3 separate regions of the Mus musculus genome follow, and regions 2 and 3 are each reported to be linked to region 1. The links are microRNA targets in miRTarBase. Many come from high-throughput screens and were not tested one by one. Region 1 holds a microRNA gene; each other region holds the end of a gene's coding sequence.

The links. Region 1 holds the annotated microRNA mmu-miR-743b-5p (UGUUCAGACUGGUGUCCAUCA, at 2,806-2,826, shown strand). A microRNA usually pairs through its seed, bases 2 to 8, with sites in the 3' UTR of a target mRNA and lowers its output. Matches are read on the target gene's strand: a 7mer-m8 pairs with bases 2 to 8, a 7mer-A1 pairs with bases 2 to 7 and ends in A, and an 8mer does both.
Region 2: the mRNA of Saal1 is a reported target of mmu-miR-743b-5p. Seed matches in the 3' UTR shown: 7mer-m8 at 765-771.
Region 3: the mRNA of Maf is a reported target of mmu-miR-743b-5p. Seed matches in the 3' UTR shown: 7mer-A1 at 1,035-1,041.

The regions. Positions count from the first base shown.
Region 1 is chrX:66,775,742-66,780,127 of GRCm38, reverse strand. Mir743b (microRNA 743b) reads left to right here and starts at 2,796; the gene lies at 2,796-2,872. Mir743 (microRNA 743) reads left to right here and starts at 3,310; the gene lies at 3,310-3,371. It also overlaps the pseudogene Gm14681.
Region 2 is chr7:46,685,616-46,690,001 of GRCm38, forward strand. It overlaps Saal1 (serum amyloid A-like 1), which reads right to left. Exons shown (of 12, transcript NM_030233.1): 11 at 4,188-4,280; 12 at 493-3,840. The coding sequence ends at 3,748. Among named protein-coding and RNA genes, the nearest start is that of Tph1, 20 kb to the left of the region's middle.
Region 3 is chr8:115,702,259-115,706,644 of GRCm38, reverse strand. Maf (avian musculoaponeurotic fibrosarcoma oncogene homolog) reads left to right here. Exons shown (of 1, transcript NM_001025577.2): 1 at 1-3,392. The coding sequence ends at 894. Among named protein-coding and RNA genes, the nearest start is that of Maf, 2.4 kb to the left of the region's middle.

The sequences.
Region 1 (4,386 bases):
AATAAAACCAATCAATGATTTCAGGCCCAACTGAATATCAATTCAAATATCTTGTGACAACTTAGATGATGAGTGCACGAAAGTGGACTGAAAAGCTACAAGTAATTAGAGTCTTCCTTTATAAATATGGCCCTAAGTGAAAAAGAACCAAACAGATTTAAATTCAAGTCACTGAAATTATGATGGTATCAGTGATTTGAATTTAAATAGACCAAGTTCCTATCTTCTGTATTCTGTAACTTTCTCCAGTAATTGAACAGCGATATACAGGTACAATTGTGTTGTATTCTCATCCTATGCTCCCAATATTCTGATTCTTTTAGAAGATTTTCATTACCTAGTTTTTAAAAGTCATTTGCAAAGTATATCACTGATTAATCTTAAAGTCACACTGGCTATCTGGCTATAGGTCAAGAGGTCTTCCTTTATCATGCAAGGTGACAAAGTATATTTTGTATTCCCAAACAGTTGAAAATAAATAAATCAATGTTAATATGTCATGCTGTAATTGGTGAAGTGATGAAAACTGCTTGGGATGATTAGCCTACATGGATGATACCTCCATATCTTCATGCTTTATGTTATATCTCACTCAAGAAGCTGTTAGACAGTTGGACTACCGACAAATCTTCCAGGTAAAGTACTGCTCTTTAATTCAGTTATTTTTGATAGGTTCTAGGTAGTATTAGTGCTTTCCATGTAAGATCACTGATAATGGTTTTCAGGATGATCACAAAGCCTTACTATACAATTGTGTGTATCTTTTTAATCACTTTCATGGGACAGCATTCAAGCATCTATGTTAGGTAAGGAAAAGGAGAACAAGGTGCTAAAATTAAGAATTATGCTTTCATAAAAAGAAAATGAGGTACACTGTGTTAATGAAAGACTAAACACAGAAACGGTTTGAGTCTTTGTTGCCCCATATCCTTACTTTTTCAACATAGTGTAGACTATCCATGTTTCACCTCATGGGTACTTTCAAAATAGAGAATGTAAAGAAAGAAGATAATCTAAAGAAAAAAAAAATAATTTCCTTCCCAGTAATTAAATAAAGTTAAAGGACTTTTATCTCTCTGATCCAGAAGTGGTAGAGATAGAAAGTGAAGGAGAGTATATATATTCCCTAAGAACTTGAGTTAAGGACTCCTGAAACTTCTTGGTAATGCAAGAGTCAGATGAGATGATATGTCTCCATTCATTTTGGTGTGTGCATTGTGATATAGGACAGATACCAGTCACTTTCTACTAACCTCTCTCAATATAAGGATACAGAAAAAAGTAAAACTTGATGAAGATGATGAGGACGATGATGAGGATGATGAGGATGATGATGATGATGATTTTGATGAAGAGGAAACTGAAGAAAAGGTCCCAGTGAAGAAATCTGTACGAGATACCCCAGCCAAAAATGCACAAAAATCAAACCAAAATGGAAAAGACTTAAAACCGTCAACACCGAGATCAAAGGGTCAAGAGTCCTTCAAAAAACAGGAAAAGACTCCTAAAACACCAAAAGGACCTAGTTCTGTAGAAGACATTAAGGCAAAAATGCAAGCAAGTATAGAAAAAGGCGGTTCTCTTCCCAAAGTGGAAGCCAAGTTCATTAATTATGTGAAGAATTGTTTCCGGATGACTGACCAGGAGGCTATTCAAGATCTCTGGCAGTGGAGGAAGTCTCTTTAAGAAAAGGGTTTAAACAGTTTAAACAGTTTGGGGTATCTCTCTCAATATAAGGATACTCATAAAGTACTGTCATTGTAAATGTAAGAACATAGATGCACATGCAAGAGTATTTTCTGATTCTAAGATCGATTGTAGCTACCTTCACAGGACATTGTTTAGGTGAAGATATAGGGGGAACCTTTCATCTAATTCCTATTTCTCATAGGTGAAAATATTTAAAATTAGGGACATAGCACTATGGAAAATAAGTTTAGTTTCATTTTAATTTTTAAGTGCTTTTTAAATTAAAATATTTTATAATTCTCCCCTTTCGTTTCTTCCCTTCAGCCACTCTAATCAACTAACCCCTTTGTTCTCTCTCTCATTCATGCCCTGCTTAGTCCATATTTTGAAAGTTTTATGTATGTTATTTCAGTGCTGACCATGGAAAAGCAGTTGGTGGGCTCTTCTCTGCTGAGTACTATTTCTCCTGAAAGCTTTTTAGTGTCAATCCCTATACACATTAATGTCAGTGAGACTTAAGTGCGTGTACACATGGTCTCTCAGAGTGAGTAATGTTCAACAAGCTCCTTACTTTGTATACCCTGGACCTTATACTTCGTCTTCAAAGGCATCCTTGAGATTGCTACCATTTTCATCATTTCTCATTTAAAGCCCCACTTTTTTAGACTTAAAAGGTGCTTAAGGTTGTACACATGCCTCAAAATGGTCAGAGAGTGCAATTATAAAAGTAATATGTTTATTATTAATGGATATTTAATATCAGCAAAATGAGATAAAAAATTGGGATCACAACATTCAGAAGGAGAAATGAAAGGTGAAGGATTTTGTCATTTCCTGGACCTGTGAATAAAGAAATCTAGTGTTCACCTATCACACTAGACTACAAGAATTGATGAAGGCTCATGAAAACTAGTATATACTGTATTTATCTTCACAGCATACATCCTCAAGGTGAATTTAGACAGGATCCTCAAATATGATGGTTATTACTACATGGTAGAGAAAAAAAGATGAAGCATCAGTCATACTGATGCAAAGCATGCAACTAGTACTTAACTTTTTGTCCAGGACACTGAAATAGGAGTGGGAGAGGGCAGTATGTTGTGTGCAGTGCTGTGTTCAGACTGGTGTCCATCATGTGAAATATTTGTGAAAGACATCATGCTGAATAGAGTAAGGCCCATGATATTCTTCATTTATTATGCCTTAATTGGTCAGAGTGGTGCAGTGCAGTTACACTTGACATGAATCCCTCATTGTAATTAGTCATATGTAACCCTCAGGATCCATATTTATCCAGAGTATAATTTTAGATGTTCAATTTTTACACAATTATAACATGTAGGTTAAAGAAAAAAATACTTAGAAGAAACTAAACCCACAATCAACAAATGATACATCTTTTATCTATGTAGATTTGAGAATCAACACTGTAAATAGAGACCAGGACATAGTATACAGTGAAGAACTAGAAACTCATAGCCTACTGTAGGAATGTTTTCTAATATATACATATAAACAGAAGTGAGTTTTCATGTTGAGTGGGGCAGAATGATTTGTGTGACATGTAGATGAAGGATCTGGGGCAGAGCATTCTCATTAAAGTTCTTGTATGCAGTGCTGTATTCAGATTGGTGCCTGTCATGTTTATAAGAATGAAAGACACCAAGCTGAGTAGAGTAGGGCTTATTGTGTTCTTCATTGCAGGTGGTATTATGTGGTCAGGGTGTTTTATCTGTAGTTACACAAAATGTAACCAGTCCTAATCTGTTACCTAAGTACAATTTTGATTCCCAGTGTTAACTTTATAGCCGCATATAGATTGGAGAATTAACACAAAGTTTGGCAGTCAACCATATAGTAGGACATAGTATGTTATGTACAAGGAATATTCCCTAAGATAGGAATAAATATGATATATGTTAAGGTTTTATACTCATTAAGGCAGATTGATAAATAGGATACTATTAGGACATGATTGAGGCCCGCCCTACATGCTAAAATTCTATACAGAGCCATATTTGCTTAAACTGTTAACCAGTTCTTCTGTGTGAGTAGAATAAGTCTAACAAGCTGTCTCATTACTTTTAGCATAGTGATTTTTGTATAAGTACAAATATCCTAGCATTTCTGATTATGGTGTTCTTTGACTTTTCTGGGCCCTAGGACACCTTCAGGGTTTTTAATGGTGTTGTTGTCACCTTCATGCTTTTTGTTGTTGTTGTTATTCAAAAATTCACATAGGTCCGATAAAATACAGAAGGAAAATTCAATTTATTTATGTGCTAAAAAACATACTTTTAAGAGCCTAAAGCACAGTCTTTAGAATAATTAGATTGTATGCTTGAGGCCCTAAGTTTGGCACGTGGTCTGGCAAGAATGAAGGAAAGGGTATTAAGCTGAGAGTGATGATCAGTTATTGGTACTCAGAGTTATTCATCTTATTGGAATGCAGGAAGAAGATGTCAAATTATATATGCAAGGTGATGTATAATGAGTTTTGCATTCCCTAGGTGTGTTCAGGGTTCAGGCATCCTTCCTGATGTCATAACTTGTACAAGTGATGAATATTATTAGAGGTTATAGAGTTGATAGAGTCAGCACTTCTACATTTGTTTTGTTTCTTTTTTTCTGAAAATGTTTAAGATATATCCTGACCACAATTTCACATCCCCCATCTTCTCTGAGATCCTCCCC
Region 2 (4,386 bases), not on the chromosome of region 1:
GGACTGAGTTACCCAGGACATGATCTCCTCACAGTGAATAGCAGGAACTCAAGAGGCTGAATGCACAAAAGCATCCTATTCTAACATCCTGTTGACTAATGACTTGGTCCGGCTCAAAGTGAAGGGCCAGGAAAGCAGGCTCCATTCAGCAAGGCCATTCACAGCAAGGCCACAGAGAGAGGTGAACAGTACAGTGACCTGCCTCCAGTTGCCTAAGCTCCTCTGTCCCTCTGTGCAGCCGGAAGCATCATCCTGCATCTTTACACCATACCTTATGAATAAGAGCCTCACTGGGGCAAGATTTCTGTCCGCTCCACCCACTGTGGTAGTGTCCTAATGCTGCCTGTTTATTCTTCTGTCTTCTGGTGTCAAAGGATTCATAGTAGACAATCAATGACTGACTGGCTGCCCCAAATCAGACCCCCAGCCTTATGACTTTGTGATGTAGAATCTAGATGTCCTGAGCCGACCTTTTTTTTTTTTTTTTTTTTTGGTCTTTCTTCACCCAGCTTTGCTCAGACATCACTTCCTTTCTCAGTCAGACATGCTAACAGGGGAGAACATAGGCAGCTCAGAGACAGGTACATGGATAGGCAAATACCTTTAAAAAGCCCTCCAGAGCTGACCCATGACTACCCATGGCTACTAGTGTTGTATAGTGATGAGGGGCAGGCTTTGGGGCCAGACAGGCCTAGAGTAAAAGCCAAGACAACAATTTAGTCACCATCTTGGACTAGCACTAAGAAAAATATAGAAAAAGGCTAGTTCAGAGAAATGTCTACCTGGTTTCCTTTTGCTGAACCGTCTGACAGTTTAGCCCTCTGTCAGTATGAAACTTCCCTTTTAAGAACTAGGCTACCGAGCAGGAACACCGGTTAGAGCAGGTAGCACTCACTTCCTTTGCTTCAGTGATTTCTTCGCTGGCATACACACAGCTCAACTCTACAGAGAGAAAATGCTGCTCGCTGAAGATGTACCGAGCGCCAGATACAGGCTAGTTCTCCATGTCTGCAGATGGTTTCTGCATGTACTTCATCAGAAGTGTATATGCCGAGGGTAGCTTATCAACCTTTCCCCATTTATATATATGCCAGCGTTTTCAAGGTCAGTAACCCAAGTCAAAGTCAAAGCAATGAGAAATATTAAAGGTGGAGGGGAAAACCCTTTTAAATCGAAGGAGCTAGAGCAGACAAAGCAATGAAAGAAAAATAAAATAAGAGCCCAGGAGAGTGGAGTTGGACCTCAGCTCTCAGATACAAAATATCCTTAACAAAAAGCAAGAAAAACGTCTCTTCTTTTGAGATGATCAGATTCCTTAGAAACTGGACTGAAATTCAGGTATTTACACGTGTGCAGGTTTGCTAACTCTTGTTCTTCTTTTAAGTTCTCTCCCTCCCGCACCTGCATGTAGCACAGGATGCATGTGCCCACGAACTCCCCAGGTTCATGTTTTGCTTACAGAGTGCCAGCCTTAAAGATGGCCGCAGTGGATTCAAGTGCTGCATTGGTGTGTTACTTCCTTGAATCACAGAGCACTCAAGTTTTAGCCCTGACCATGTTTTCTTTTACATTTCTCTAGTTTTACAGACTCAGGATGTTTTCATGCATATCAAACCAATGTGAAGTTTGTAGTGCCTGAAAAACAGAACCAACAGAGTAAATAGTAAGGGGCCAGCCAGAATCAAGAAGCAGGAAACAGCATGTTGGCCCTTACGCCACACCCTTTTTCCTCTCCCTCTAGAACTTGTCCTCTGAGGGGCAGCCTCACCCTGAGAAGTCCTTGTGTTCTCAAAGTGTGTTCTCATAAAAGCAACATGAAACATGCATGCACAACGGTAAGCAAAAGCAAGAGATCCAAGTGCTATTCCGTGTGCAGCAGGCTTCATCTTCTACATGAGACAACACCTCGTCTTAGCATGAGTGACTTCAACACGCTGCTGAAACCCCGAGTCAGTCACAGAGGACACAGGATTCGGAATTCCTATCCAGTGTGGCACACATAAGAGCTGGTCCCTAACTACAAACACATAACCTTACAGTCTAGCATTACAGTTAGCCCCAAGAACAGGAAGGTATATAAGGTAAATCCGCCACTCAGGTCAAGTTTGAGTGTGCGCTCCTGTTCTCCAATCCTTTTCAGCAACATCTAGAGATCAGAAAGTGAGTTCTTATCCCCCCAATACAGAATCTGTGTTTTATCAATAAAAATCGTTTAAGGAAAAGTATAAATGGAGACCAATCCCTTACGTTAAAAAAGATTCTGGGGGAAACTGGAATGGGTTTATAAAGCTGGCTTTGTGGTAACTGAGAATCTCTTTAAACGAGAAAGAATTCTGGTTGGTGTGTGAAGTAATGCAGACTGGATGCTAAGTGCCTGGATGGTTCCAGGAATGTCTTCATCAAGAAGCACTGGGGACAGCGAGGAAGCACCAGGGAGTCACAGACGAGAGAGGCTGTGGCAGTCCCTCATCTTACTTAAAATCTTCTCAAGCAAATCATGTTCTGAAGCACAACTGCCGACTCATGCTGAAAACAGTCTCGCCAACGCACTCACACTGAACGCCAGTGTCTGTCTCTCTTCCGTCTGTGAAACAGGAAAGTGCAAGTGGAACCACGGCACAGGAAGTACTGCTTCCAGGTTGTTACTGACAATCTGGAGGAGTCCACACAGCTGATGCTGAGAGCTAGCACACCTGAGGCTCAGAGCAGCTACTGTATGCTAGCAGGCTGGCTCTCCAAGCCTAAGTTAGTTACACCTTCCCTCTTATGGAGAGTGAGCAGGACCTGGACTTTAGATACAACGCATAACAGAGGAGGTCAGGGAAGGCTGGCAGAACTTCCTAGAGCGCCTCTTTGCCTCTTTTGTTTCACCCCTGAATGTGGATGGAAGACACAGCGCAGGCCTCACTGTTACAAATAAGTGTGTGTGTGCAAAGGTCTGCATGGTAGGCCACTGAGACAGGGAAAGGAGGCAGACGGTTCCCCGGTCTGCACTTGTCTCTGCATATATTGTATGAAATACACAAGGATACTGGAGGAAGCTACCATATGAGGAGTTTCTGTCACTGCAACTAAATGTACTTGTAATGAATACAAAATTCTCACATAAAAGCCCAAGTAAAGATTATGAAGACAACCTTACAACTCAATATTGGAAAAAGAACCTTTGCTCTGACAAATATGGTGATGCATAGACTCGGGTGCTTGAATGCATAGCCCATGGGGACTGGCACTACTAGGATGTGTGGCCTTATTGGAGTAAGTGTCACTGTAGGGGGCAGGCTTTGAGGTCTCCTAGGCTAGAGCTTTGCCCAGTGTGCCTTCTGCTGCCTGCAAATCAAGATGTAGCGCTCTCAGCTCCTTCTCCAGCCTTACGGTGCCTGCACCCTGCCATGCTTCCCTCCAGGATAATGAACCTGGAAGCCAGGCCCAGTTAAACGTCATCCTTTGTAAGAGTTGTCATGGCCATGGGGTCTTTTCCCAGCAGCACCTTAACTGTGACAACAAGCTTGGATTTCCTCTTCTTCAACCAAGCATCAGTAACATGCGCTCAATGCAGAGGAGAGGGGGGTGACAGTGGTAAACCAGCGTCTGGTACAAACACAAGTGGGAGGAGACGGGCATCAGGGCAGACTACGAAATCAAGGTCTGATACAATGTTCATTCACACCATCATCCCGATGCCAACTTCGAACCATAGAAAACACAAAGTTTATTCCTTGGACAGCAGAAGCTCCAACTTGGGTCTTAAGTCTGTGCCTTCACACTTGGGAAGCTGTCTTCTAGGTCATCAGCAAGAGCCTCATCGACCTCACGTACGACTTTAACGAAGTCTTCCACCTGTGAGTCACACAAAGAACCAATGTCTACAGTAGAGGAAAAGGTGTTTTTTAAAGACATCCATGGTTACCTATGAAAACATCCTCCTGCCCTTCCAATGACTCAATACAAACAGTGTGAGCCAAGAGACCTCCCGCAGGTCACTTGAAATACTCCAGTGACAAGCCTAGAAGTGACGACCCTAGCCAGTTAGTTCCTTTCACTCCCGGCTGTTAGACTCCCACTGCTTCCTTGTAGGTCGCTCACTGGCGTTTTATTAATTCCCCCTTGCTGTCAAGCCCCCTTATGCCAGCTCTGCCATACAGCATTAAATCCCGGAAGCTATGCTATCATTTCCCCATACTCACTGCAGGGCCGTAGAGGGGCAGGAGGCTCTGAAAGGCGCAGGAGCACTTCTGCTTGCTTAACTGGCCCTCCTTCAGTCCCTGAGCCACCTTTTCCTGTGACAAGCAAAAGCAAAATTTCACATCAGAAAAGGAAATGGACTAAGGCTGTATCTGCAAACATAGCCATCAGTACAGAGAATCACAGCTGGTCTCATCAGCA
Region 3 (4,386 bases), not on the chromosome of region 1:
TCGGCGCCCAGCCCGGGCTCGGGCAGCGAACAGAAGGCGCACCTGGAAGACTACTACTGGATGACCGGCTACCCGCAGCAGCTCAACCCGGAGGCGCTGGGCTTCAGCCCGGAGGACGCGGTCGAGGCGCTCATCAGCAACAGCCACCAGCTCCAGGGTGGCTTCGATGGCTATGCGCGGGGAGCGCAGCAGCTGGCCGCGGCAGCGGGGGCCGGCGCCGGCGCCTCCCTGGGCGGCAGCGGCGAGGAGATGGGCCCCGCCGCCGCCGTGGTGTCCGCCGTGATCGCCGCGGCCGCCGCGCAGAGCGGCGCGGCACCCCACTACCATCACCACCACCACCACGCCGCGGGGCACCACCACCATCCGACGGCCGGCGCCCCGGGAGCCGCGGGCGGCGCGTCTGCCTCTGCGAGCGGCGCGGGTGGCGCGGGCGGCGGTGGCCCGGCCAGCGCCGGGGGCGGCGGCGGCGGAGGCGGCGGCGGGGGCACGGCGGGGGCGGGGGGCGCCCTGCACCCGCACCATGCCGCGGGCGGCCTGCACTTCGACGACCGCTTCTCGGACGAGCAGTTGGTGACCATGTCGGTGCGCGAGCTGAACCGGCAGCTGCGCGGGGTCAGCAAGGAGGAGGTGATCCGACTGAAGCAGAAGAGGCGGACCCTGAAAAACCGCGGCTATGCCCAGTCCTGCCGCTTCAAGAGGGTGCAGCAGAGACACGTCCTGGAGTCGGAGAAGAACCAGCTGCTGCAGCAGGTAGACCACCTCAAGCAGGAGATCTCCAGGCTGGTGCGCGAAAGGGACGCCTACAAGGAGAAATACGAGAAGCTGGTGAGCAACGGCTTCCGAGAAAACGGCTCGAGCAGCGACAACCCTTCCTCTCCCGAATTTTTCATGTGAGTGTGACACGCGATCCCAGCTAGCCACCTTGTTAAATGCTCCGTGGGGGTCCCGCTCCTGAGTGGGCTTGCTAGTTGCAGGGCCAAGCTCGCTCGGCCACCACCTCGCCCCCTCCCCTGGCGAGTTTGCTCCCCTTGGCCCTGAACAGACACACACACACACACACACACACACACACACACACACACACACACACACACCAAGCTTGTGGTGGTGGTGATGGCTCTTTTGAATTGGGGAGGGAAAGGGTGTCTGGCTCATGGATTGCCAACCTGAATTCCCCCGTAACTTGCTAGCTTGGTTGTTTTGTTCTTTTTTATTATTATTATTATTATTACAACTACTACTCTTTTTACACCGCCTGCCCCACACATACCCTGGACTTGCACAAGGGTCAAAGATCTGAGCAGCATACTTCATGTAGGGCATAGCTCACCTTTGAACCGGGCCATCAATTGCCTGTATATATATTTTTTCTTCTTCTTCTTCAGCTCATGAGCTGGTGTTCATTCTGTGTGTGTGTGTTTGTGTGTTTTATTTTGTTTGGATTTTCTTTTTTCTTCTTCTTCTTCTTTGTTTTTGTTTATTATTACTATTACTAATTTTTTGGAGCTTGCTGTGTTTCCCAGCCTCTGCCACCCCCCACCCCCACCCCTGCACCATGTTCTTGAGATAAAAGGAAAAAAAAAAAAAGCAGGGTTTTTTTTTCCCCTCCTTCTGAGTTCTTCTGATTGAGCTTGCAAAGGAAAAAAAAATGTGAAATGCTATAGACCTTGCAGCGAGCTGAGTTCCACGGGGGTTTTATCTTAGCATTGTTATGCTAAAACAGAATGAACTAAAGCCACTCCTGAACCTGCCACAATCAAGCCTACATCAACCTTCTGGGTGTGACTTGTGAGTTTTGGCCTTATGATGCCAAATCTGAAAGTTTAGTCTGCCATTAAACAACAAACAAACAAAAACACAAAAACAAACTTACTCTCATCTCATGCATTACGATGCTTGCTACTTTGTCTTAGCAACAATGAACTATAACAGTTTCAAAGACATTATGGAAAAGAGACATTATATTAATAAAAGAAGCCTGCATGCTGGACATGTATGGTATAATTATTTTTTTCCTTTTTTTTCCCCCCAATTTGGCTTGGAAATGGACTTTTGAAGACTTAGCGCATGACATCCATACTTTTGATTTACAGCCTCATGACTTTTTTGAGTTCCAAACAACAACAGAAAAAGTACAACCCCAGAGCCTTCTTCCCTTGACAGTTTGCTTCTACTCCTGACTGCTTTGAGTTACAATGAACTTCAGCCTCCCGTTGTACATGCACTGAAGGCGTTCCTTGTCAAAGATAGCAGAATGGGCTACAAATTTATATGGCAAATATTATAGAACGTAAATTAAATGTTTTCTTTTTAGAAACAATGATGCCTGCTTTGGGGCACTTTAAATTGTGCTATTGCCAAAAGCAGTCTAAATTTTCTTTGAAAAGAAAGAAAAAAAAAATCTGCCCCAATTATTTTTTGGTTGGTTTTATTTTTTTTTATTTTATTTTTTCTATTTTTTTTTTAATTTTTTTGGTTTTTGGTCATTGTCAAATGTGGAATGCTATGGGTTTCTAGTATATAATTTAATTCTAGATTTTATAATCTGTTAGCCCAGTTAAAATGTATGCTACAGATAAAGGAATGTTATAGATACATTTGAAAGAGTTAGGTCTGTGTAGCTGTAGATTTTTTTAAAGACCGATGCACTAAATTGTTTACTGTTGTGATGTTAAGGGGGGTAGAGTTTGCAAGGGGACTGTTTAAAAAGTAGCTTTCTGAAGCATGTGCTTGCAACTTAAATATAAGTTGGGTATGTGTAGTTCTTGCTATACCATGGACTGTATTGAAAACCAAAGTATTAAAAGGGGAAATGCCCCTGTTTATATCTGTAGGGGTATTTTACATTCAAAATGTATGTTTTTTTCCAAAATTAAAGTATTTGGGACTGAATTGCACTAAGATATAACCTGCAAGCATATAATACAAAAAAAAATCGCAAAAACTGTTTAGAACGCTAATAAAATTTATGCAGTTATAAAATGGCATTACTGCACAGTTTTAAAGTGATGCAGATTTTTTACAGTTATGTTGTGGTGCAGAACTGGATTTTCTGTAACTTAAAAAAATCCACAGTTTTAAAGGCAATAACCAGTAAATGTTATTTTCAGGGACTGACATCCTGTCTTAGAAAGAAAGAAAGAAAGAAAGAAAGAAAGAAAGAAAGAAAGAAAGAAAGAAAGAAAGAAAAGGAAAGGAAATCTTACCACAATAAATATAAGAAATCTTGTCAGTTACTTTTCTTTTACATATTTTGCTGTGCAAAATTGTTTTATAACTTGAGTTACTAACTAACCACGCGTGACGTTCTACATGCTTCTCTTTCATTTTCAATTCTGGTTATATCAAGAGAAAGAATAATCTACAATAATAAACTGCATTTTTTTTGATTCTGTTCCGTTTCTTAGTGTACAGATTAACTGGGTCCCATGTCTTGGAGCTTGGATATGAAATACAAAATGCATTCTCTTTGATTTCTGAACAAGGGAGTTGGAGGCAGGAATTCTATTCTGAGAGGCAGGAGATTGACACCATATAGTCAGTAACAATATTTAATATTAATACAAATTATGACATCTTATTTTTTCTCCTCACAGATCTTAGTTTCCTAATAGGCTGAGCTAGTAAGGAAAAAAAGTGAGAAAGAGGGACAGTGAGAGAGAAAGATAGAGAGATAGACAGACAGACAGACAGACAGACAGAGACACACACACACACACACACACACACACACACACACACACACTGAGAGCACATAGGAGCTTTCTGAACAGGACTCTAAGCTTCTGACGAAGGAGCACAGATAGAGGGACTGGGACCAGCAAGTCTGGCTCACCAGAGGTGCATGGGAACATATGCATTTAATGGTAAAGATAAATAATTCTTGCCGTTTGGCCAAAATTGATTATTTTTTCTTCTTCCCTTACATGTTGTGATTTTCTTGTTGGCACAGTCCTGACAAGACTAAACATAAACACTTTGCACAAATCAAAGTTGTTTGATTTTGCTCTTTTTTCCCCCTGTCATTTTTTTTTAAACTTTTCAAGTCACTTGTCCTAAATGGGAAAAAGAAAGTCTATCATTTGCACACAGAGTTTCCAGTTCACACCAGGTTTTATCTATATTATCTAACTATATTTCGAATAGTCAAAGAGCTGTCTCCAAGCATATAAGCTAGGGATAACTACATGAGTCCCCCAAATATAAATATACAAAGAAAACAACATTTTCATGGGGTGTAGGCGGTGCTCTGATATATTGCTGTTTGCCCCCAAAGCAGGTTATGAATGGGGTCTAATTGAATGATCACTTGGAAAAATATCTCAATTACCTTCAGTTGAATTCCTAAACCCTGACCCATTTAAAACTGACACAAATTCCTGCAAC